4 linked regions of the Arabidopsis thaliana genome follow. Each later gene encodes a partner of the first gene's protein in a complex. Each region holds a gene or a part of one and is shown in the gene's direction. Other genes may lie near its edges. The genes, in order: FUS5, CSN6A, COP8 and CSN6B.

Evidence for each region.
Region 2: FUS5 (region 1) and CSN6A share a complex: the UniProt entries of both Arabidopsis thaliana proteins name them as parts of the CSN complex.
Region 3: the proteins of FUS5 (region 1) and COP8 are in contact, whole or in part, in a cryo-EM structure (PDB 9IS6), measured with the Arabidopsis thaliana proteins. Residues at the interface, in NP_563645.1 of Arabidopsis thaliana: Met1 (codon at 2,035), Lys108 (codon at 2,551), Val124 (codon at 2,708), Arg125 (codon at 2,711), Glu128 (codon at 2,720), Asp129 (codon at 2,723), Ile132 (codon at 2,732), Asn133 (codon at 2,735), Met136 (codon at 2,744), Tyr137 (codon at 2,747), Lys144 (codon at 2,858), Leu145 (codon at 2,861), Asp146 (codon at 2,864), Gln147 (codon at 2,867), Leu148 (codon at 2,870), Pro155 (codon at 2,997); in NP_199111.1 of Arabidopsis thaliana: Glu269 (codon at 4,144), Arg270 (codon at 4,147), Ile271 (codon at 4,150), Arg273 (codon at 4,156), Ser310 (codon at 4,364), Lys313 (codon at 4,373), Leu314 (codon at 4,376), Tyr315 (codon at 4,379), Thr316 (codon at 4,382), Asn317 (codon at 4,385), Ile318 (codon at 4,388), Arg319 (codon at 4,391), Glu322 (codon at 4,474), Thr325 (codon at 4,483), Leu326 (codon at 4,486), Val357 (codon at 4,702), His359 (codon at 4,708), Gln373 (codon at 4,750), Asp383 (codon at 4,882).
Region 4: the proteins of FUS5 (region 1) and CSN6B are in contact, whole or in part, in a cryo-EM structure (PDB 9IS6), measured with the Arabidopsis thaliana proteins. Residues at the interface, in NP_563645.1 of Arabidopsis thaliana: Glu4 (codon at 2,044), Gln7 (codon at 2,053), Ile11 (codon at 2,065), Ala41 (codon at 2,155), Ser43 (codon at 2,161), Glu44 (codon at 2,164), Ala104 (codon at 2,539), Glu105 (codon at 2,542), Asn107 (codon at 2,548), Lys108 (codon at 2,551), Val154 (codon at 2,994), Pro155 (codon at 2,997), Phe156 (codon at 3,000), Ala157 (codon at 3,003), Ala158 (codon at 3,006), Gly159 (codon at 3,009), Arg160 (codon at 3,012), Asp161 (codon at 3,015), Leu162 (codon at 3,018), Leu167 (codon at 3,033), Met170 (codon at 3,042), Leu171 (codon at 3,045), Thr173 (codon at 3,051), Leu174 (codon at 3,054), Ser175 (codon at 3,057), Trp177 (codon at 3,063), Leu178 (codon at 3,198), Ser181 (codon at 3,207), Glu182 (codon at 3,210), Leu185 (codon at 3,219); in NP_567746.1 of Arabidopsis thaliana: Leu208 (codon at 3,100), Ala209 (codon at 3,194), Leu212 (codon at 3,203), His216 (codon at 3,215), Ile219 (codon at 3,224), Asn223 (codon at 3,236), Ile226 (codon at 3,245), Arg227 (codon at 3,248), Tyr230 (codon at 3,257), Ile233 (codon at 3,266), Val234 (codon at 3,269), Gln237 (codon at 3,278), Asn245 (codon at 3,492), Ser246 (codon at 3,495), Leu248 (codon at 3,501), Arg249 (codon at 3,504), Gln250 (codon at 3,507), Val251 (codon at 3,510), Ser252 (codon at 3,513), Ser253 (codon at 3,516), Leu255 (codon at 3,522), Arg256 (codon at 3,525), Ser257 (codon at 3,528), Leu258 (codon at 3,531), Ala260 (codon at 3,537), Ala261 (codon at 3,540), Glu262 (codon at 3,543).

Annotation. Positions count from the first base shown.
Region 1 is NC_003070.9:386,731-391,602, reverse strand, and holds FUS5 (Proteasome component (PCI) domain protein), read left to right. Parts: upstream 1-1,794; 5' UTR 1,795-2,034; coding exon 2,035-2,193; intron 2,194-2,301; coding exon 2,302-2,377; intron 2,378-2,464; coding exon 2,465-2,553; intron 2,554-2,662; coding exon 2,663-2,752; intron 2,753-2,842; coding exon 2,843-2,887; intron 2,888-2,993; coding exon 2,994-3,064; intron 3,065-3,196; coding exon 3,197-3,335; coding exon of another isoform or gene 3,336-3,380; exon of another isoform or gene 3,381-3,930; coding exon 3,931-4,019; intron 4,020-4,099; coding exon 4,100-4,124; 3' UTR 4,125-4,326; downstream 4,327-4,872. Other genes in the region: SBI1 (Leucine carboxyl methyltransferase), read right to left, coding at 62-145, 340-387, 480-600, 739-841, 1,039-1,120, 1,204-1,251, 1,353-1,566, 1,660-1,727. UniProt on the Arabidopsis thaliana protein: Component of the COP9 signalosome complex (CSN), a complex involved in various cellular and developmental processes such as photomorphogenesis and auxin and jasmonate responses.
Region 2 is NC_003076.8:22,782,871-22,787,290, reverse strand, and holds CSN6A (COP9 signalosome subunit 6A), read left to right. Parts: upstream 1-1,685; 5' UTR 1,686-1,760; coding exon 1,761-2,058; intron 2,059-2,147; coding exon 2,148-2,236; intron 2,237-2,322; coding exon 2,323-2,416; intron 2,417-2,615; coding exon 2,616-2,677; intron 2,678-2,796; coding exon 2,797-2,875; intron 2,876-2,956; coding exon 2,957-3,049; intron 3,050-3,182; coding exon 3,183-3,283; intron 3,284-3,375; coding exon 3,376-3,431; intron 3,432-3,592; coding exon 3,593-3,674; 3' UTR 3,675-3,907; downstream 3,908-4,420. Other genes in the region: PEX5 (peroxin 5), read right to left, coding at 1-6, 103-231, 517-636; WRKY2 (WRKY DNA-binding protein 2), read right to left, coding at 4,154-4,420. UniProt on the Arabidopsis thaliana protein: Component of the COP9 signalosome complex (CSN), a complex involved in various cellular and developmental processes such as photomorphogenesis and auxin and jasmonate responses.
Region 3 is NC_003076.8:17,236,612-17,242,398, reverse strand, and holds COP8 (Proteasome component (PCI) domain protein), read left to right. Parts: upstream 1-1,582; 5' UTR 1,583-1,749; coding exon 1,750-1,879; intron 1,880-2,017; coding exon 2,018-2,169; intron 2,170-2,439; coding exon 2,440-2,543; intron 2,544-2,631; coding exon 2,632-2,692; intron 2,693-3,149; coding exon 3,150-3,242; intron 3,243-3,330; coding exon 3,331-3,431; intron 3,432-3,672; coding exon 3,673-3,781; intron 3,782-3,866; coding exon 3,867-3,911; intron 3,912-4,134; coding exon 4,135-4,203; intron 4,204-4,300; coding exon 4,301-4,392; intron 4,393-4,466; coding exon 4,467-4,569; intron 4,570-4,692; coding exon 4,693-4,752; intron 4,753-4,854; coding exon 4,855-4,929; 3' UTR 4,930-5,246; downstream 5,247-5,787. Other genes in the region: AT5G42965 (Polynucleotidyl transferase, ribonuclease H-like superfamily protein), read right to left, coding at 5,274-5,663. UniProt on the Arabidopsis thaliana protein: Component of the COP9 signalosome complex (CSN), a complex involved in various cellular and developmental processes such as photomorphogenesis and auxin and jasmonate responses.
Region 4 is NC_003075.7:13,353,103-13,358,132, forward strand, and holds CSN6B (COP9 signalosome subunit 6B), read left to right. Parts: upstream 1-1,889; 5' UTR 1,890-2,126; coding exon 2,127-2,424; intron 2,425-2,504; coding exon 2,505-2,593; intron 2,594-2,680; coding exon 2,681-2,774; intron 2,775-2,869; coding exon 2,870-2,931; intron 2,932-3,021; coding exon 3,022-3,100; intron 3,101-3,191; coding exon 3,192-3,284; intron 3,285-3,474; coding exon 3,475-3,575; intron 3,576-3,704; coding exon 3,705-3,760; intron 3,761-4,142; coding exon 4,143-4,224; 3' UTR 4,225-4,493; downstream 4,494-5,030. Other genes in the region: WRKY34 (WRKY DNA-binding protein 34), read right to left, coding at 4,494-5,025. UniProt on the Arabidopsis thaliana protein: Component of the COP9 signalosome complex (CSN), a complex involved in various cellular and developmental processes such as photomorphogenesis and auxin and jasmonate responses.

The DNA of each region.
Region 1 (4,872 bases):
CAGAAATTATACATGAAAGTTAGCCCTGCTTTAATCATAATATTCTAACTGCAAAACGAACCTGCCATCCATTATCAAGAAACAATCTCTCCTTTGCAAGTAAAGTTGGTGATGCATCAATGCTTAAGAGTGCACATCCCCGACTCTGAAGAACAGAAACACCGTTAAGCTTTCAGAACAAGTTTAAATGAAGGTAATTGATCAGTACAACATGAACCCATGTGGCAATACTAGAATATTTTAGTGTCATACTAGTATCCATATTTTGACAAAAATCTCAAAAAAGCTTTACTAATGAAGATGTCGCTGTAACTAGAGTAGTAGAGTACACGTTCTTACCTCCAAATTTCTAATCATTTGATGCCCAAATGCATCATCTGGATGGATCTGCAAACAGAAACCCAACGGGTTAGACACATAAGCAATAAGATTCGTATCTGCAATATTATGCAGACAAGGAAAATCACAGTTGAGCTAACCTGCTCATATAAGAAAAATACTGCAGTTGAAAACGTTTTTGACGACCAATTGACGATGGCACGGCTTGAATCGGGGTCCAGATAAATCAAAACACATTCTGCAATAATAAACGTCGGCAGACTGATAATGATATTAGGGATCAAGTAGGTCTATCACCAGTAAGTATCTGTTACCATATATCTTAAACCCGGGTAGAAGAAGAGGGTTGAAGGTTCAAGATAACAGTGTGTAAAATAAATAAAAATTATTCATGGATACCTTAGATCCATATCTGCAAAGGATATAACATCTCTTAATTTTGGTATATCGCGCAGGTCAACTGGAAGTAACTTGTAATGATCACTGAGAACTTGTCCTTCGTCTGTAGAGATAAACAGCCCAACGAGTTAAGAGTAAGCAACTGAAACTAGACGCTAACGGTACAAAGTAAAAGGGGGTGGTTGAGTTAGTAGCTAGTAGAAGCGGAATGAAGAAAAATATGAGTGCACAAGCTGAAATGCATCATAATGAAAAGGATCATTCTACATAATAATACATGGGGGGAAAAAAGGCTCTTACCAATAGAAATAGATGCATTGGCTCCTAGTTTGTCCCTGAGTTGGCTGGAGTTTTGTATAACAGCAGCCTTCTTGCTAGTCACCTAACGTAAGAAGCAAATCCATTTAGGCATTAGACTCAAAACACATGATGGATACTTTTGTCAGCACGCTCATCCAGTAGTACCTCCTTAAAATCAAGTTCCACATAGAGATTGGGCCCATTCCCCTCATCCTACAAAATGAGAAGAGAAGAAGCGAGAGATCCCTGGAATAAGCCGAAGAATGGTGAATTTGGTAAAAGCTAACAAAAAGGAGAAGAAAAAGAAGACGCACCAGCAACTGAAAATAGGTAGTATCAAAGCCAGCTCCGAGAGACAGTATCTGTTTCTTAGAACTTGTCCCGCTTAGAAGAAACTGAGACATAAGCTTTCGGAAGGCAGCCCAACGGGAAAAGTAACCTCGATTAATGATGGGAGATCTTCGAACAGGTCTTTTCACAAAGAGATGAACATAGTCGTCTTTCATATATCCCTTTTTGACACAAGACCTTTAAAAATATTATCTAGGCTCAAAGATCCACAACAACAACAAAAAAAAAAGAAGAGCCCTAATTAAAGAAGAGAGAAAGAGGTAGGCGTACAATTTACTGGCGGATGCATCGTCGTTAGTAGCCTGAACCGCCGCTCTGTTGCTGCGAGATTCCGCCATCGTCGTCGCTCTCTCAGCCAAAATGAAGGAAGAAGAATATTCAATAGTCTCTCTCTTCCCCGGGATTGTTTGGGCTCACCAGACGCGGTTTCTAATATTTCTCTTAGTAGGCCTTGGCCCAGAAACTACGAAATTTGAGCCCAATTATTAAACAAGATTCTAGAAGAATTCGGTCGGTCACATAAAAAAAACAGTAATATAAAAACGGAAGAAGGAAGGAGCAGAGAGAAGAAGTTTGGGATTTTATTCGTTATTAGTGTGGTAAGAAAGAAAACCCTAAACCACCGGAAATCGATTTGTTTGGAAGATGGATATCGAGCAGAAGCAAGCCGAGATCATTGATCAGCTCGTGAAGCGAGCTTCTACTTGCAAATCCGAGGCTCTGGGCCCGCTCATCATCGAAGCCACATCGCATCCTTCTCTCTTCGCCTTCTCCGAGATTTTGGCTCTACCCAATGTTGCCCAGGTACTACTACTTTATGCTTTTCACGATCTAGGGTTTTACATGCTTTTGTTCTTCGCTGATCATAACAACTTGATAGATACTAGTAGCTGATTAATCGTAATTGTGCAGCTTGAAGGAACCACAGATTCTGTGTACCTGGATCTACTACGCTTGTTTGCCCATGGCACCTGGGGAGACTACAAATGTATGACCCCTTTGTCATATGCTATTTCAATTCGTTTTCCCTTTTGTCATATTCTCTCCTCTTGACTTGCTTTCATCGAAACACTAGGCAATGCCACCCGTCTTCCGCACTTGTCCCCTGACCAAATTCTTAAGCTTAAGCAGCTCACTGTCCTCACCCTTGCTGAGTCTAACAAGGTATATTTGTCTTAGGTTCATGATTTGCTCCTGCTATCTACTCTGTTCCATTATCTTTTTCCCCTGCTGTTTGCCTAACTGAATGTCTCTCTCACTCTGCTTGTTATAGGTATTGCCCTATGATACACTAATGGTCGAGTTAGATGTTTCCAATGTTCGCGAACTCGAGGACTTTCTTATCAATGAATGCATGTATGCGGTGAGTACTCTTTAGCAGTCTTCTAATCTCTATTTGACAACTAACTGTGACAACGCATGGTGCTCATTTTTTTTCTTTTACACTTTGCAGGGTATAGTTAGGGGAAAACTGGATCAGTTAAAAAGATGTTTTGAGGTGTGTTTTGGTTTGGGCCTCCTTTTCCTATTTTAACCATTGTGCTTTGTTTCTAAACGTACGAGCCCCCCCTTCTAAACATCATATATCTCTTGCAACCATGCAGGTTCCGTTTGCAGCTGGTAGGGATCTAAGGCCAGGTCAACTAGGGAATATGTTACACACATTGTCCAACTGGTAGTTTTCTTCTTCCCTTAGATCCAGGATTTTTTGCCTTCTATATCTAATTATAAGAACTTGTACGTGATGTTAGAATACATGGCTAATGACGTCCTACTCTTTTATGTGTTGGCCCAAATTGATGTCTAGGTTGAACACGTCAGAGAATCTGCTCATTTCAATTCAAGACAAGATCAAATGGGCGGACAATATGAGTGAGATGGACAAAAAACATCGTAAGGAAGCAGAAGAAGGGGTGGAAGAAGTGAAGAAGTCTCTGTCCATGAAGGTCAGTCGCGCTTGGAGTCCTATTGGCTTCACTTTTCCCTACTAAGTATATTATGTAACTAATATTGGTTACATTCTTTCTTGGTTACTGTCTTGTGACCATGAGTTAGAGTCCAGTCAGCTATTCTGTCTTATATTTCTTCAGAGAATTGTAGTGGGTTTCTTCTTATTAATAGCTTAGGTCTATGTAAGCGGGGATGGGAGAGACTTGATAAAAAAATCTTTCTAGGTCTTTGAGCTTTCCAAGTCCAGTCCTATCATAGATTAAAAAGTTATGTTTCTTAATAACAAACGAATCGATCAGCCAACTGTGGCGGGCTTTTTTAACCGTTCTTTCGTGGAACAAGAAATCTTACATGTTGGATGTAAACATATATTATGAAGTTTTCTTTAATTAAAAACAAACAAGGAACGCAATCACAACGGCTGTTAGTGAAGTGTTAAAGTCATTAGAGGACATGAATTGTTTGGAATGGTAGTACTTGGTTATTGTCTGATTGTTAAATGAAATGAAACAAGGTTCGTTTGGTTTTTTGTGTCTGAAATATGATTGGGAAGGGTGGTGGTCGATATAGTCTTACTTACGTTGTGGGCAGGGGGATGTTGACATCAGAGGGAATAAGGAGATGTTTGGGGAACCAAGTGGAGTGATGGACTACGAAGAAGATGGGATCCGACCAAAGAGGTAACGAATATTAGATATGAGTGAGATGATAAGTACAAAGGAGATGATATAACATACACACATTCAACTTTGGAACGCAGGAGGAGGCATCCTGTAACAAGGTAGAGGAGCAAGAGAGAGCAAATGGTCAGTGCGGATTGACATTCCATTTACCGAGAGTAGATTATGATTATTTGGTTGCGGATTTTCAACTTGTATAAGATCCTCTGTTCTCTCTCACAATAACCCCTTGTTATGTTTGATTTCCCTCATTAGCAAATTTGGTGTCTCTCTGCCCATTAAAAGAAAAATGGCTTTGAATTTAGTATTCAGTAATCAATAGTCTTGACACTTGAGCAAAGCTAGGCGCTTGGATCATATGGAATGATACAGATATTCTCAGTGTTCCGTCTTTTGACCACTAGCCAGCGCCTTGGCCCCTCACATGTTGAAACCTGCTTAGTCTGCGACAGCTGCCTCTTAGGCGGGCATGAAAGTGTTGTTTATTACGTCATCGACTAGATCCCACCATCGGAATTCTGACCGAAACATGTTCCTGAGAACGTTATACAAAGTACTAGTAGTCTAGTACTATATGATGACAATCCCTGCCGATTTCTCACACTCCCTCAGCATAATCATAATCTCTTTCAGTGTTTATGGTCATGTTTTATGACCATGAAAACACAATCCCCGCCGATTTCTCAAACATGTTTTCACCTAACTAATTCTCAAACAGACCCTTAAGAGCAAGGATAAAGGAATAATAGTGTTTTTTTTTTTTGTAATTAGAAAACATGTTTGTGAATCTTGAAGTTAAATAAATAAACTAAGACTCCTAAAATCTCTCCTACTGTATGTATAATTGTTACAA
Region 2 (4,420 bases), on another chromosome or scaffold:
TGACCCCTAATGTAAAAATTGCAAACCCATCAGCCATCACAGAGGCTAGATAATCAGAGTCAATACTACCATTGTAAAACCAAAACTTTCCACAACATTAACCTGAGCACCCGGTTGCAGAAGTGGCTGATCTAACTCAGAACCAGGAAGTGACCTTATCTGTTGGTCTTCAGAGTAAAATTGTGGCCGAGGACCTGACCGGTTTGCATTAGGTATCTCCTTGAGCCTTTCCTGCACAACAAATCACCAATCATCAACATTTCTTCAAATTCTCAGGAAATTTTAAACCTTTAAACAATTGTCAGCCAAATCACTTGACATAATCGAAGAACGTCTAAAACCCTAACACTACGGAAAGAAAAATCGAAACTTGGCAAGCAAATAACAAAACCCAACGAAAAATGAGATCTAATTCGACTTCTTAGTTCCAGGAGAACCAAGGAAAAGGCGAAGAATGGAATCAGGAGACTTCAAATGTCAACACTGTTTCGATCAAAAAGGAATCAGGAAGCTAACCTGGGTTTTGGAAGACGAACCAAGTAAAGCGTTGGTGAGAGCTCCGAGAGGATTAGAAGAAGAAGACGAACCAGGAACGGCACAAGCGGCTCCGCCGTTAACAAGGTCTCTCATCGCCATGTTTCCAACGGGTTTCTACTCCTCCGCCGCAATCACCGTCGTTGAATCTATCAGTATGGTTTCCTCCGTTGTCCGGAATTGATCATCAACCTCCCAAATCCTAATCTTTAGTTTGGCTCGTCTCGTGGCGGTGTTTTTTTTGTTTGTTGTGTTTGGTCACAGCTTCGTAAGAAATTATTAAATTTTTTGATAGTATTTTGGTAATTAATATTTATATATTATCCACACCACACACATTTTTAGGCTCACCAACACATTTTTGTTTAGTTATTTATTTTTGTGAAAAAACCGTTTTTTACAGTATCCGTAATTAAAAATGAATTGTTGTGAATATAGTTTTTTTTTATCTTTCTTTATCAAGATATGTTTTATCTTTTTGTCCGATTTGCTGCCACTTTTGAATTTTGTAGTTTCCTATTAGTGTTGAATTATATTTGCTTGATCATACCAAAGATAAATAAATTATATTGCTTGATTTTTGCTGGGTTTAGTTATATTTCTTGATTGATTGTGCAATGCGTTACAAACGAAGGTAGATTCTACTCTTGTACTCATATCACACATTTGGACGACCAACATGACTTCACTAATTTCATCAATAACTAAAAAAAAAAAAAAAATTCATCTACATCAACAATAGTTACAATATGCTAGGCATCTCTAGATTTTTTTTTCCTTTCATTAACTTGCAAGAATTTACACACTAGAAATCAAACATTTTGTGGAAAAAATTATAACCTTTAGTCTAACCACTGAACTATTGAACTTTCATATTGAAAAATTTGATGAATGTTGTCTGTTTTCAAATTTCTAGTACATTTTTTGTCAACTTCAGATATCTGATTTTATGAGTCTCAATCGTTTGGTTTATCTTATTTTCGTTTGTTAATTAATATAATTAGTTTCCAAAATGAAAAAATGTAATTGGAAAAACAAGTCATGAGGCCCAACCGCATATATAAGTCCTACGCTCGGCCCATACAGAAAAAACTAATATCCATATAGTTGACCCGGAAGACCCGATCTAGGATCCGAATCCACATTGATTTAAATAAAAAAAATCTTCATAAAAAAACTAAAAACCCAAAAACCAAAGAATTCATCAAAGGAGAGAGAGATCGACAATGGCACCTTCGTCATCAAGCGGTTTAACCTTCAAGCTACATCCTTTGGTAATCGTCAACATATCGGATCACTACACTAGGGTCAAAACTCAGCTCAATCCTCCTGCTTCAATCTGCGCAAGCGGCCATGGCTCAAACAACGGCGAAGCAATGTTCCAGCAAAACCCTAGGGTTTACGGATGTGTGATCGGTGTCCAGAGAGGTCGTACTGTTGAGATATTCAACAGTTTCGAGCTTTTATATGATCCTTCTACTCAAACCCTTGATAGATCTTTCCTCGAGAAGAAGCAAGAGCTCTGTAAGCTAAAGCTCACTCTTTTTATTCTCAACTATTGATGCAATCGTAAATTAAAGTTTGAACTTTTATCTGGTTTTATTGTTTATTAGATAAGAAGGTGTTCCCTGATTTCTATATTCTGGGATGGTACTCTACGGGAAGTGATGCTGAGGAATCTGATATGCATATCCATAAAGCTGTGAGTCCAATGCTCTCTCTAGTATTTTTGTATAATTGAGATTTGGTCTCTAAAAGTGTGGTTTTTGTGTCTGCTCTTGGTGACAGTTGATGGATATCAATGAATCTCCTGTTTATGTGCTTTTAAACCCTGCTATCAATCACACACAGAAGGATCTTCCAGTGACTATTTATGAAAGTGGTATGCTTCTTATAATGTCATATGGTTCTGTGGGTACATTCTGATATGTTAGCATGTTAGTATAGGTATATGCGTAGTTCAGAGTTTCTAGATATCTTCCCAAGTCTTTATCTTTATTGACTTCCAGATTTAGGTCAGATTGTTTTACAAGATCCTAACTTTTCTCTTTGTTTCATTGATTGATCTTCATTACTTGAAGAATTGCATGTCATTGATGGAATCCCGCAGCTAATTTTCGCTCATACAAGCTACACAATCGAGGTCTGTGCTTAAGTTTGATTCTGCAAATAATTTTTTTTTTTTTTGTCAAACATTCTGCAATTTAATCTATGTTATGAAAGTGTACATTGACTAAGATTTTGAGGTGTTATACAATGTAGACAGTTGAAGCTGAACGGATATCAGTTGATCATGTTGCACATCTTAAACCATCTGACGGAGGCTCAGCAGCAACCCAGTGTGAGCCTTATGTCACTAATACATATCATACTCCACTTCCTGAGTCTTACTGTTTTTGGCTGATTATTCGTTCATATGCAGTGGCTGCTCATCTTACTGGTATACATAGTGCCATCAAGATGCTTAATAGCAGAATCAGAGTGCTTTACCAAAATCTTGCTGCAATGCAGAAAGGTATATTCTGTTCTTTCCCAAGTTCCGATTCTTATCACCGTGGTTTCATGTTTACCAGTCCAGGATTCTAGCTGAAGATAGTCAAAGTTGTGTAAGTGTAATAATTTATCTGCCAACTCATTTATGTGTGTAGGTGATAAATCTTGTGACAACTCAGTTCTGAGACAAGTATCTAGCCTGCTAAGAAGATTGCCTGCCATGGAATCAGAGAGATTTCAAGATAATTTCTTGATGGTGAGTTAGTTAGATCTGCACTTGATTCTTTTCAGTGTAGCTTATTGTCTGAGATATTTCGCAACTTATGCTGGCATTTTTTCTTTTTGCAGGAGTACAACGACAAATTACTAATAACTTACCTAGCGATGATTACAAATTGTTCCAGGTTTGTACCTAATGCAACATTCTAAAGTATTTGAAAGCAAGTATATAGGCTAGCGAATGCTCTTTAACTAGTGGTTCTTTAGGAACTGTGAAAGATACGGTTTTCACCGGGCTGGTGGATTCTGTTATATCAGTTAATAATTTTGTTTGCTCAATCTGCAGCAACATGAACGAGATGGTCGACAAATTCAACACCGCATATGACAGAAACACTCGAAGAGGTGGAAGAACTGCATTCATGTAAAAGATCCTTTCCAGCGATTCTAGTTCTAAAGATCTTCTCTTGGTTCCTGAAACCATTTTTAACATTGCCTCTGTGAGAATCTATAACTCAGACGGCAAGACTTTATCCTCTTCATTGTTTCTATATCTATAAGAACATCTGCTTATCTATCAAAGCTCTTGTTTGATCTTGAACAAGTTTCTATTGTTAGTAAAAAGATTTTAAGGTTTGATTCTATCAGTCTCTCTAGTTACATCCACATCAGTCTCCAGTTAGCAATTGCAGTATTGCTACACAACACTCACTTTTTTCTTCTTTGTTGATTTCAATATAAGATAAAGAACCAGTAAAAAAGAAGACAAAACCAAGGAATGAACAATAAAACAGCCTTTACCTTCCCCAAAGTTTGAAACCAATAAATGAAAGAAGAAGAAGAAGCAGAAATTAAAAGTTATTATAAGGAGTGACCAAATGCAGAAGAAGAAGAAGAAGAGTAAATTTCAAATCTGAGGTAATCTACTCATGATCTGGTTATATACCGATTGTCCTGAATCTGAAACCGGTTCAACCTTTGGTTCCATCCCTCTCTGCATCATTGCTTCACTCATCCCAACCGGTTGTGTCATATACGGGTGAGGCAAACCCGGCATTTTCCCTTGACCATACGCTAAACCAGGCATTGAAAGATTAACCAAACCGGTTTGTCCTAAACCGAAGGAGAAACCAGAAGGAGGACCCAAATGTGGCTGAAAGCTAAAGGGACGGCT
Region 3 (5,787 bases), on another chromosome or scaffold:
TTTATTTTTTATTTTTTTTTTGTTGGTCACATTGAATATTATTGCCTTTGGTAGTTCAGTCCTATATTTTATTTGAGAAACAAAATCAGAAAAGAATCTATAATTTGAAGCAACTTTCATATTGTAATTTGGTATTCCTATATTTTATTTGAGAAACAATATCAGAAAAGATCAAAAGAATCTATAATTTGTAGCAACTTTAAATATTGTAATAGGAAATCTTTTAAAATTTATCAATATGAAATTTGTTAATTTATAATAGGTCTTGAGATTTGATCATGTGACTTCTAAACACAAGTTATTGGGCTTTTGTTTAAGTAAAGCCCATGTGTCAAAGAAATGGATTGTTTTCCTAGTTAGTGAAATAATCTTATACACACAATTTAAAAACAATAGAGAAAATTAATGTTGAAATGAGCAGATTAATGTGGGGTTGTACATATCAAGGTGGAACTATCACAAGGAAGAACAAAGAGATATCTTGAGGTAACTACCCAAAGAAAGAGCAATGAAACCCTACCATGACAATTTGTCCAGACTATAACGAGTTAAATCATTATCATGAATTCCATACCATGGCAATTTGTTTTCTTTCAATGGGATGTCTACCATTCCAAAAAAGTTTTGCCATCAACAACCGCATCTGTTCTTTTGAGTAAATGTAATTTTGGTAAACTATGTAGTCTATAATCATTAGTTACAATATGGATCTGTAAAGTTGATTCAAAAACAATTGTGATGTTCTCGAACGGGATCACCATAAACTTCATCAAAAAAAATCCTTTAAGCGAGAGAAACTCGTGATTTTTCGAGACAACGATTGTGTCTATGAGTCTATCGTCCAACCTCATCCAATACCAATATGTTCAGTTATATCTAAGTTGTAAAGCACATAAAATCGATTTGTCAGTCAGCTCACATGTTTAAACCAAAGTCGTATTCCAATGCGAGACTTGGTTTCCTAGTCTGAGATAGGTAAATTTCTTTATATACTACCCTCTATGTAACGAGAGAGTGGTTCTTTTTTCACTTTTAATTCATGAGAGCACTTTCAAAACATTTTGCATGTCATTGCTCTCAAGATTTGGGCTCACAACTTTTCCGATGACTTCTCGGTCATATCTTGACCATTCGATCAATTTTTCGATTGCTTCTAGTCGATTCTTTCTCAACAAATAATTATTTACGTTTCCATCTTAAATTGCTCCCTAAGCTCTAAAACACATAACATATCATCTTTTTCCGATCTGGTATCATAATATTAAACGTGGTATTGTCATCATAAAATACCTCATCATCGTGTTTTCCAAATCACGACGTGTTTTTTTATTTGTGTAAAAGATTTACTGTAGTAATTTAGGCTCACATATAAAAATATTTCTAAACAATATATTATTTGTTGATTTTTTTTTTTAATCTACAATCAATTTGGTAAACTTACCATCACAAATTAATTATAAAATTTATGAACTAACAAAAAAAAATATAGTATTTATGCTTAATATATATATATATATATTTTAATTTATTTTGGGTACTAATCTCATATGAGTTGTGACCATATTAAGTAAATTTTGTAAAGCGCCTCTCCGATCACCGGCACAGAATCTAGTCCCCGTTTATTTTTTTAATATAAAAAGAGAGCAAACTCCAAAAAAAAAAAAAAAAAAAGCGAGAGAGAAATCAAAACCTTGTAAGGTTTCTTAGGGTTTCAATCGAAGCGGGAGAGAAAATCTCAGAAGAGAAGCCATGGATGAAGCTTTGACGAACGCTTCTGCAATCGGTGACCAACGCCAGAAAATCGAACAGTACAAACTCATCCTCTCCTCTGTTCTCTCTTCCAACGATCTTCTCCAAGCTCAGAGATTCATCGATCACAGTAATTTCGCATCTCCCTTCTTTCTCATGGTTTCAACTTCATAAGAGATTCGACAACTGCTTTTTGTTCTTATGGAATTCGGTTTATATCAGAATTTCTGGTTTGATTTTGATTTTTGCTTCCTCACAATTTTTCCAGTTCTTTCCGATGATGTCCCGTTGGTGGTTTCGAGGCAGCTTTTGCAGTCTTTCGCACAAGAGCTTGGGAGATTAGAACCGGAGACGCAGAAGGAGATTGCTCAATTTACTCTTACCCAGATTCAGCCTAGAGTTGTTTCCTTTGAGGAACAGGTTTGTTTTCTCTTCGTGATACCTTACTGTTTAGCAGCAATCGTGTACTTTTTAAACCCTAATTAGTTTACCTACTTAACATAAGTTGAGAGGTATGTAGAGTCGCTTTGCTATTGTACCGCTTTGGTATGTGAAATCTACACTGAAAGCTAATTTGAGATATTTGTTTACTAAGGATGCTGTATTTTGGGATAACTGAGACAATGTACGTTGTGTTGTTTTTCAATCTCTTTATTCTAAGAGATGAAACTGTTTGTGGTGTATTTGCAGGCACTTGTTATCAGAGAAAAACTTGCGGGTTTGTATGAATCAGAGCAGGAATGGTCAAAAGCAGCACAGATGTTGAGTGGAATTGATCTGGATTCTGGAATGAGGTGTGTGGCATTGAGCAGAATTTTGTTTTAGTTTCCTCTCTATGTTCTTTTGTGTTGCTTATTTTGGATTTGCGGAATTCTTTATTAGGGCCGTTGACGACAACTTCAAGCTTTCAAAGTGTATCCAAATTGCTCGTTTGTATCTCGAGGTTTGTCTTTCCCTTTCATGTACATATGCACAATAGATTCTGTGTCCTTTTCATTAATTTTTAAGCATGTAAATCGGTTATCTCTGTTTATGAGATGAATTTACGCATCGCAGTAATGATTTATAGCTAGTTTGTCTTGTTTCCTTCTGTGGGTGCGTGTCAATCAGTTACAGAAGTTAGATCTTAAAAGCACAAAAGAAACCCGTTGTTGAATGTTGATTCAATCTTCAAATATTTGGACATTTTTCTAGAGAGATTTTATTTAAAGTTAAGTCTCTTGACCAAATCTAAGTGTCATGAAATTAGGAATATCGACTGTTAAGAGCATTATTCTGCTTCACTACATCACTTTTTTATTTATTGCTTGTGAGAGTAAATTGAGGCTAGCAGAGTTGTATAAATACATTTAGTTAAATTTTTATTGTTCTCTAATACTTTTGTGTTTTGAAATTTTCAGGATGATGATGCTGTAAATGCAGAGGCTTTTATAAATAAAGCTTCTTTCTTAGTGAGCAATAGTCAGAATGAAGTTTTGAATTTGCAGTACAAGGTTGGACCACCTTAAAGTAAACTAAGAATTTATGTGCTGGGTGATTAAGGAGCATTCGTTTTCAAGTTTTAATATATTTCTGTTTCAGGTCTGCTATGCTAGAATTTTGGACATGAAAAGAAAGTTTTTAGAGGCTGCACTTCGGTATTACGGCATATCTCAGATTGAGCAACGCCAAATAGGGGATGAGTAAGTGAACTGACTTATCTTTCTGCTACATCTTTTCTTCAAATTCTCCTCTGTTGGTTTCTTGTTCGGATGGAATAATGATTAATTAATCTTCTATCCATCTTTGGAGACTCTGTATTTAAAGCTAGTTTCCTACTTTTCCCCTCTCTGTGATTGAATAGTGTTCCTCTTTTCTCTCTCCAATACCTTTGTGATATCTCATATTCTGAAACGGTTATAATGTGTTTTCTAATCTTTTCAGAGAGATTGATGAGAATGCTTTAGAGCAGGCCCTATCAGCTGCTGTCACATGTACCATATTAGCTGGAGCTGGTCCTCAGCGTTCTCGTGTTCTTGCAACTTTATACAAAGTAATTCCCTTTTGGATTACAAATAGAATACTTTCCTGCTTGCTTATTTATTGTTTTTTATTTCTCAATATCTTTCTATTAACAGGATGAGCGTTGCTCCAAGCTGAAGATTTATCCTATCCTGCAGAAGGTTCTATCTCTTATTACCTACAACTGTTTCCTCTAGTAGACAAACATACATTTTCATGCTATTGGACATATAGTATTGTTTGAACTCACATATTACTCTTGTTTAAGCCGGCATGATGTTTATTAGATTTGATTCATTATCAAATCAAACAAGTTCACCATAGCTTATAGAGGCTTGGTTAGAAATGCATGGTAACTTTTTGTTTTTTAATGCAACTTTATAGGTGTATCTGGAAAGGATTTTAAGGAGACCAGAGATTGATGCCTTTTCAGAAGAACTAAGGCCACATCAGGTATGGACTGTGAATTAAGATTTAGATGTAGTTTTTGGATAACATCTGAGTTGGTAAGTAGGTTCATAACAAGTTATTACACTGTTGATTTCAACAGAAAGCATCTTTGCCTGACAAATCCACTGTTCTTGACCGTGCTATGATTGAGCATAACCTTCTTAGTGCAAGCAAACTCTACACAAACATAAGGTATGAGATGTCGAATTAGTATCTTCTTTGTGTGTCTAGACTTGTTTGATTTTCTCAACTATTTTATATCCTAGGTTTGATGAATTGGGAACTCTGTTGGCGATTGATCCAAGAAAAGCGGAGAAGATAGCAGCTAATATGATTGGGCAAGACCGAATGAGGGGTTCCATAGATCAGGTAAGCAATAAAAAATACTTTGTTGGTTGAGCTATGTAAGAGCCCTGAAGAGAATTCTCGTTAGTGTTGATTTTCTAGAAGGAGGTTCCTAGACGTGTTTTAATATTTTATGTTACTGTTCAGGAGGAGGCTGTGATTCATTTTGAGGATGACGTGGAGGAACTACAACAATGGGATCAACAGGTTTTCTATCTCTCCCTCCCACTCTTTGTCTCTTTAGAGCAACTATATATGATTGTTTGTTTTATTGGCGTGGAATATGACTGAAAAGTGGAATCTGTGCAGATATCGGGATTATGCCAAGCTCTCAATGACATTCTGGATGGGATGGCCAAGAAAGGCATGTCTGTTCCTGTCTGATTGACTCCCAAGCCGTGAGATCGCCTCATGATGATTAATTTGTATTAGCCGAGCAACGGATCGAGTCTCATGCCAAAGTTTTTGCCAAATTGCTGTGTTTTGGGGACAGTCATTTTCACCTTATTTACTTTCTTGCAAATTCATGTCTATGTCTTTAGGTTAATTGATTCAGAGAGGAAAAGATTAGGCATTGAATGAGGATTTTTAAGAAAGTTGAAAAGAGGTTCAGGGTACATTTTTACCTCAGAACAAATTATTTTATGCATAGATGAACCTTTCTTGTGCAAGAGAATGATGAAACTAGTAGTTTTTTTTTTTTTTTTGGCTCAACAACAACTTCTCATTTACCAAACGGTGATTACACAGAGTCTGAATACACACAATCTTTTATCCAAGCCGGCACCTTTAGAATACATTTTAGGATCATAATTCAATAAAGAAAGAGATTCCCTAGCAATTCTATCTGCCACACTGTTTCCTTCACGCTTTATATGCATCACCTTCACCTCCTCAAATTGTTGGAATATATGTCTAATGTCCTGAATTCTTGGGGCCAAATTTGGATAATCAGTATCATCCCCTAACAGAGACACTAGATGTTGGGAATCTGATTCAAAGATGACTTTCTTATAGTTAAATCTTGACATTGAAAGAGCTGCCCATCTCATAGCTTCAAGTTCCACTTCCAACACTGTCTGAACTCTCGGGATTGCACGAAGTCCCAGCCACAACATTTTCCCCTCATGATTTCTCAGATGAAACTAGTAGTTACATATAACATTTTCCCATTCGTTGTTTAATTTTTATTCTTGAACGATCAAAACTTATGCGAATTTAAGAAATGATCAATGATAACAG
Region 4 (5,030 bases), on another chromosome or scaffold:
TAGATAACCCCAATTTCCGAGAGGAACGTTAGGAGAAAGTTTTTGAAAATTTACAAAACTTTCTGTTAGTAGATGCTTAATTTCATCAGTGTTTTCCAAGCAATTTTGAATTAAGGATTAATAAAATTGTTATGTATATTATGAAATAATGAAGATATTTCGCTATCTCTAGAGTCTAAAGAGATTAGCAGTTGGTGCCTTGGTGGTTGACAAAAGAAAAGAAGAAGAGATTAGCAGTTGCGTTTAACATTGGTTTTATCTAGAAAGATGAACTGATGGTTACATATAAAACTAGTCGTTGTCTGTCAGTGTCCACTAAAGACTATTTTCTTCTTTTGATATACATTTCTAAATATACAACAATATCATTTCTCCGAGGTTTGTGAATTGTTTAGGTATAAAATAGTTTTCTACAATAACTTTTGCTATCGGGTGCAAAGACATTCTACCATAGAACGAGTTTAGTATAGTGTCATTTCGTAGATTCTTTATTCGGATTGGTTTTTCAATATCAACAAAATTCTGGTTCATTTTCTTCCCTCCTATAAACGAAGGTAAAAAGAATGAAGAAAAAAGAAAAGAAAGAATATTTTGTTAATGCATTATCTAACGTGTTAATGTGTCACTTTCATTTTTCTTAATCGTTTGTTGAAAACTTTTTGCAGTTGATTTCAGGAAAACGGAACACACATATATATATATATATGTCTTTTATTTTCAATACGGACCAAATCCATCATTTGCTAATCAGTGAGAAAACTAAATCGTGGTCTACTAGTTTATATAAATTGAAAAAAGAATCATAAATAATATGTCACATATCCAACCTAAAGATTTATGTCTATACATGTAAAAATGTAAATGAGCATATTCCCAAATTTCCCACAAGTATATAGCACTACCTACACTCACGCTTCTTCAAAGTGAAGGCGATGGTGGAAAAAAGCGTAGACGATGACTTGATAAGATTGACTGAAGAAAAGAAAAAAAGTTATCATAAGTCAAAAAGCATGTCGTTAGAGTTTGACGAGATCCCATGCATGATTATATTGTCGGATACAATTGTTTGAACAATACGGTTGGAAAAATCTACCGTAATATGAAGACTTGAATGACATAACTAAAGATTGTACCTTGCAAGCCAGCAATGTGTTAATGATATGAGTAAGGGTGCAGAGGCTGCGGCTGGTGGCTACTGGCTAGTGATAAGCAATTTACGATGTAATGACAGATATATCATAGGAGACTAGGAGTTATATATGGTATATATAGAATCTAAAATAACATATTTATCAATTTACTATATTAAGTTTTATGGTTCCAAACTCAAAACTAATTGTTTATGAGTAGATTTGGTTTATATACTGTATATTACTCATATTCTATTTCCACTTTTAATGTGGGATTTCTCATAAACTATATACAGTTATATTTTTAATTAATGAAATAACAATAATACAGATTTAAATGTAGCCTTAACTATTTTTATGAAATTTAAATGAAATTTAATTTAAAAGATTGCATTCAGAATACAAAACTGTAATATTCTGTAAAATATTGATAGGTACTACTTACAACATAGGAAACATATTTAAAGATATGTTATATAAACTAAAAATAGTTTAAAATATCAATATATATATATATATATATATATATTACGAAAAGAAGAATTAAAACAGACTACACACATAATAAAATTTTAATAGTAACACTTACAAACATATCCAATAATATTAAATAAAATTAATTCATTATGATCTTTATGTTATTTCTATATACTCAAACCAAAAAAAAAGAAGTAAATGATTCAAAATCCAATCATAATTATTTTTCAAATTCATTAAAATACAAGAAATTTCATATTAAAAAAATAGATATTTCTTTCAAAGATTTATATTCAAATTATAAATATATACTAAAACGCTAAAAAATTAAGTACATGCTATAATCTTTTCCATTATTTTTCTAACAAAAGAAAGTTATATATGGGCTAAACTTAGAAGGAAAGCCCAAGAGGCCAAGACTATATAAAGATTCATGACCCGAGTTTAAGATCCGATTTCAGAATTTGGGACTAAAGGAGGACAACGACAAGCGCCGGGAAAAAATCGAGAGCGACAACAATGGCGCCTTCTTCGTCGAGCGGTCTCACGTTCAAGCTACATCCTCTGGTGATGCTTAACATATCCGATCACTTCACTAGGGTTAAAACTCAGCTTAATCCTCCCGCCGCTTCTTGCGCCACCGGGAATGGCTCCAACAACGCCGACGCGATGTTACTGCAAAACCCTAGGGTTTATGGCTGCGTCATCGGTCTCCAGAGAGGTCGTACGGTTGAGATCTTCAACAGTTTCGAGCTGATATTCGATCCTGCTCTTGATACTCTCGACAGATCCTTCCTCGAGAAGAAGCAAGAACTCTGTAAGTTTACTTACACTCGCTCACTTTTGTTGTCGATTGTTTGATACTCTTGCTAATTTGTGAGTTTTGTTATTTTTTAGATAAGAAGGTGTTCCCTGACTTCTACGTATTGGGATGGTATTCTACGGGAAGTGACGCTACCGAATCTGATATGCATATCCACAAAGCTGTGAGTAGTGTAGCTTTAATGTTTAATATAAATTTAATTGAATTTAGGATTCTCATTGTACTGATTTGTTGAGGTTTTCATCTACAGCTGATGGACATTAATGAATCTCCTGTGTATGTTCTTTTAAATCCTGCTATCAATCATGCACAGAAGGATCTTCCTGTGACTATCTACGAAAGCGGTAAAAATTGGTTATTTGCATCACTGATTGTCTTATTGTTTTATAGATTATAATCTTGCTAATCCTGTCTTTTTGATTGTTTTCAAAATTTGAAGAATTTCATGTCATTGATGGAATTCCTCAGTCGATTTTCGTGCATACCAGCTACACAATTGAGGTATGTGTTTAGGCCACTTGATCTGTAATCTATCTATGTGATATGAGAGTGGACTTTCAATAACATTGCAATGATTGTAAACGCGTGCAGACAGTTGAAGCTGAAAGAATATCTGTTGATCATGTTGCACATCTTAAGCCATCTGATGGAGGCTCAGCTGCGACTCAGTGTAAGCTTTATTATCACTTCATATTTATCATAATCTGTTCTTTCTTTTTCATCTGCATGGAATTTTAGGTTGATTCCTCGATTTTGTGCAGTGGCTGCTCATCTTACTGGAATACATAGTGCCATCAAGATGCTTAATAGCAGAATCAGAGTGCTATACCAGCATATTGTCGCTATGCAGAAAGGTATATTCTTGCTCAAGTCCCCACTCTCGGTCCCTCTTCAATTTGTTAATCAAGCTTTTGTGACCTGTCCCTTGATCTTAGAATATTTCTATGTGTTTTCCTACGGGGAAGAAAGAATTAAAAGGGTGTTAGAAGATGATTTTGAGCAAGAGTAATGTGGTACTAATGACTTATGTGATTCTGCATCTAGGTGATAAACCTTGTGAGAACTCAGTTCTGAGACAAGTATCTAGTCTGCTCAGAAGTTTGCCTGCCGCAGAATCAGAGAAGTTCAATGAAAATTTCTTGATGGTAAGTAGTACCTTACCTTTTTCTAGCAATGTTGGTTAAATAAAGTGGCCTTCGAATCTCTTAAATTCTTAATGTAGCTTGTTGTTGTGAATGATATCTTTATAAATATGATGTTCTCTTCTTTTGCAGGAGTACAACGACAAATTGCTGATGTCTTACCTAGCAATGATCACGAATTGTACCAGGTATGTGCTCGACACGCTATTCCATTTAACTATTTGAATAAAAGAATGATGGACATGCATGCAAATCTTTTGCTTGATACAATGCAATGTTTTACGATACCAAGACAGATGAAATCACCAGTACTTGGTTGAGGCTGACATTGAGATAGTTTGTTTTATTTAGATTAAGAACTAAATCTAGGACCTTGCTCAATTATCCTTGTTATAATTAAGATACTGAGCCTGTAGTAGCTAAGGGAATATAAGCTTCTTTTTAAAAAAAAAATCTAATCTTGTGCTACACCTTGACCAATCCATATGTCAATTTCATTCCAACGAAATGTCCTGAAAGAATCCTTTGTATATTTGATCTCTTACTCTCCTTTTTCCCCCCAAAATGCAGCAACATGAACGAGGTGGTTGACAAATTCAACACTGCATACGACAAACACAGCCGAAGAGGTGGTAGGACTGCGTTCATGTAAAGATTAGTTTCAATGTAAAAAAACCTTTTCTTTCTTTTGGTGGTCTGGTCCCTAAGTGAAAATTTAGAACTCTTTTAAGGCATTTCACTTTTCGGAACCAAACAAACAGCTAGGAAGCTTTTCTTCTGTTTAAGCTTTGTCTAGACAGAAGCTAAGTTTAGGCCTAACTAAATTTTGCGACAAGACTGTAAAAACAAAACAGCTTTTACCTTCTCTCAATTTTTCATTTATTCAAAAATTTGAGCAATCAGTGAACAAAGAGATTTGTTTCATATCTGTCGTAATCTACTCAACATCTCTCTGCATATCAATGAGCTCGCTGACAAATCAAGTCCCTGTTGTGGTGACACTGGTTCCACCTTCGGCTGTGCTGCTAACTGCAACATTAGGCCAGTTGGATCCCCAATGTCAGGCGCCTGCAGGCTGGTAAGCTTCTCTTGCCCAATAGTTAGACCAGGCATTGAAAGATCAGAAAGCTCAGATTGGCCTATGTAAACGGAGAAACCTGTAGGATGCCTCAGGTGTGACTGGAAGTCAAATAGAGATGAGTTGGCTGTGGCCAGTCCCTCAGATCTACTGTGTGGCATTGGATAGTGCACATTGTGGTTGTGGGTCTGAGTCGCTAAACTGCCTTGGAGAGTCCCTGAACTGCCTGCACCGACGTGGCTGCTGTTGCGTGCTGCTGGTACAACGTGGGTGTGCTTGCCTATATAAGTTGTTAGTACGCTCTTGAAGTCATCAGAGGCTCTCTCTACATGCTTCGTTACGGTACATCCATTAGCTGTGCATTTATAGTAGCTCCTGAA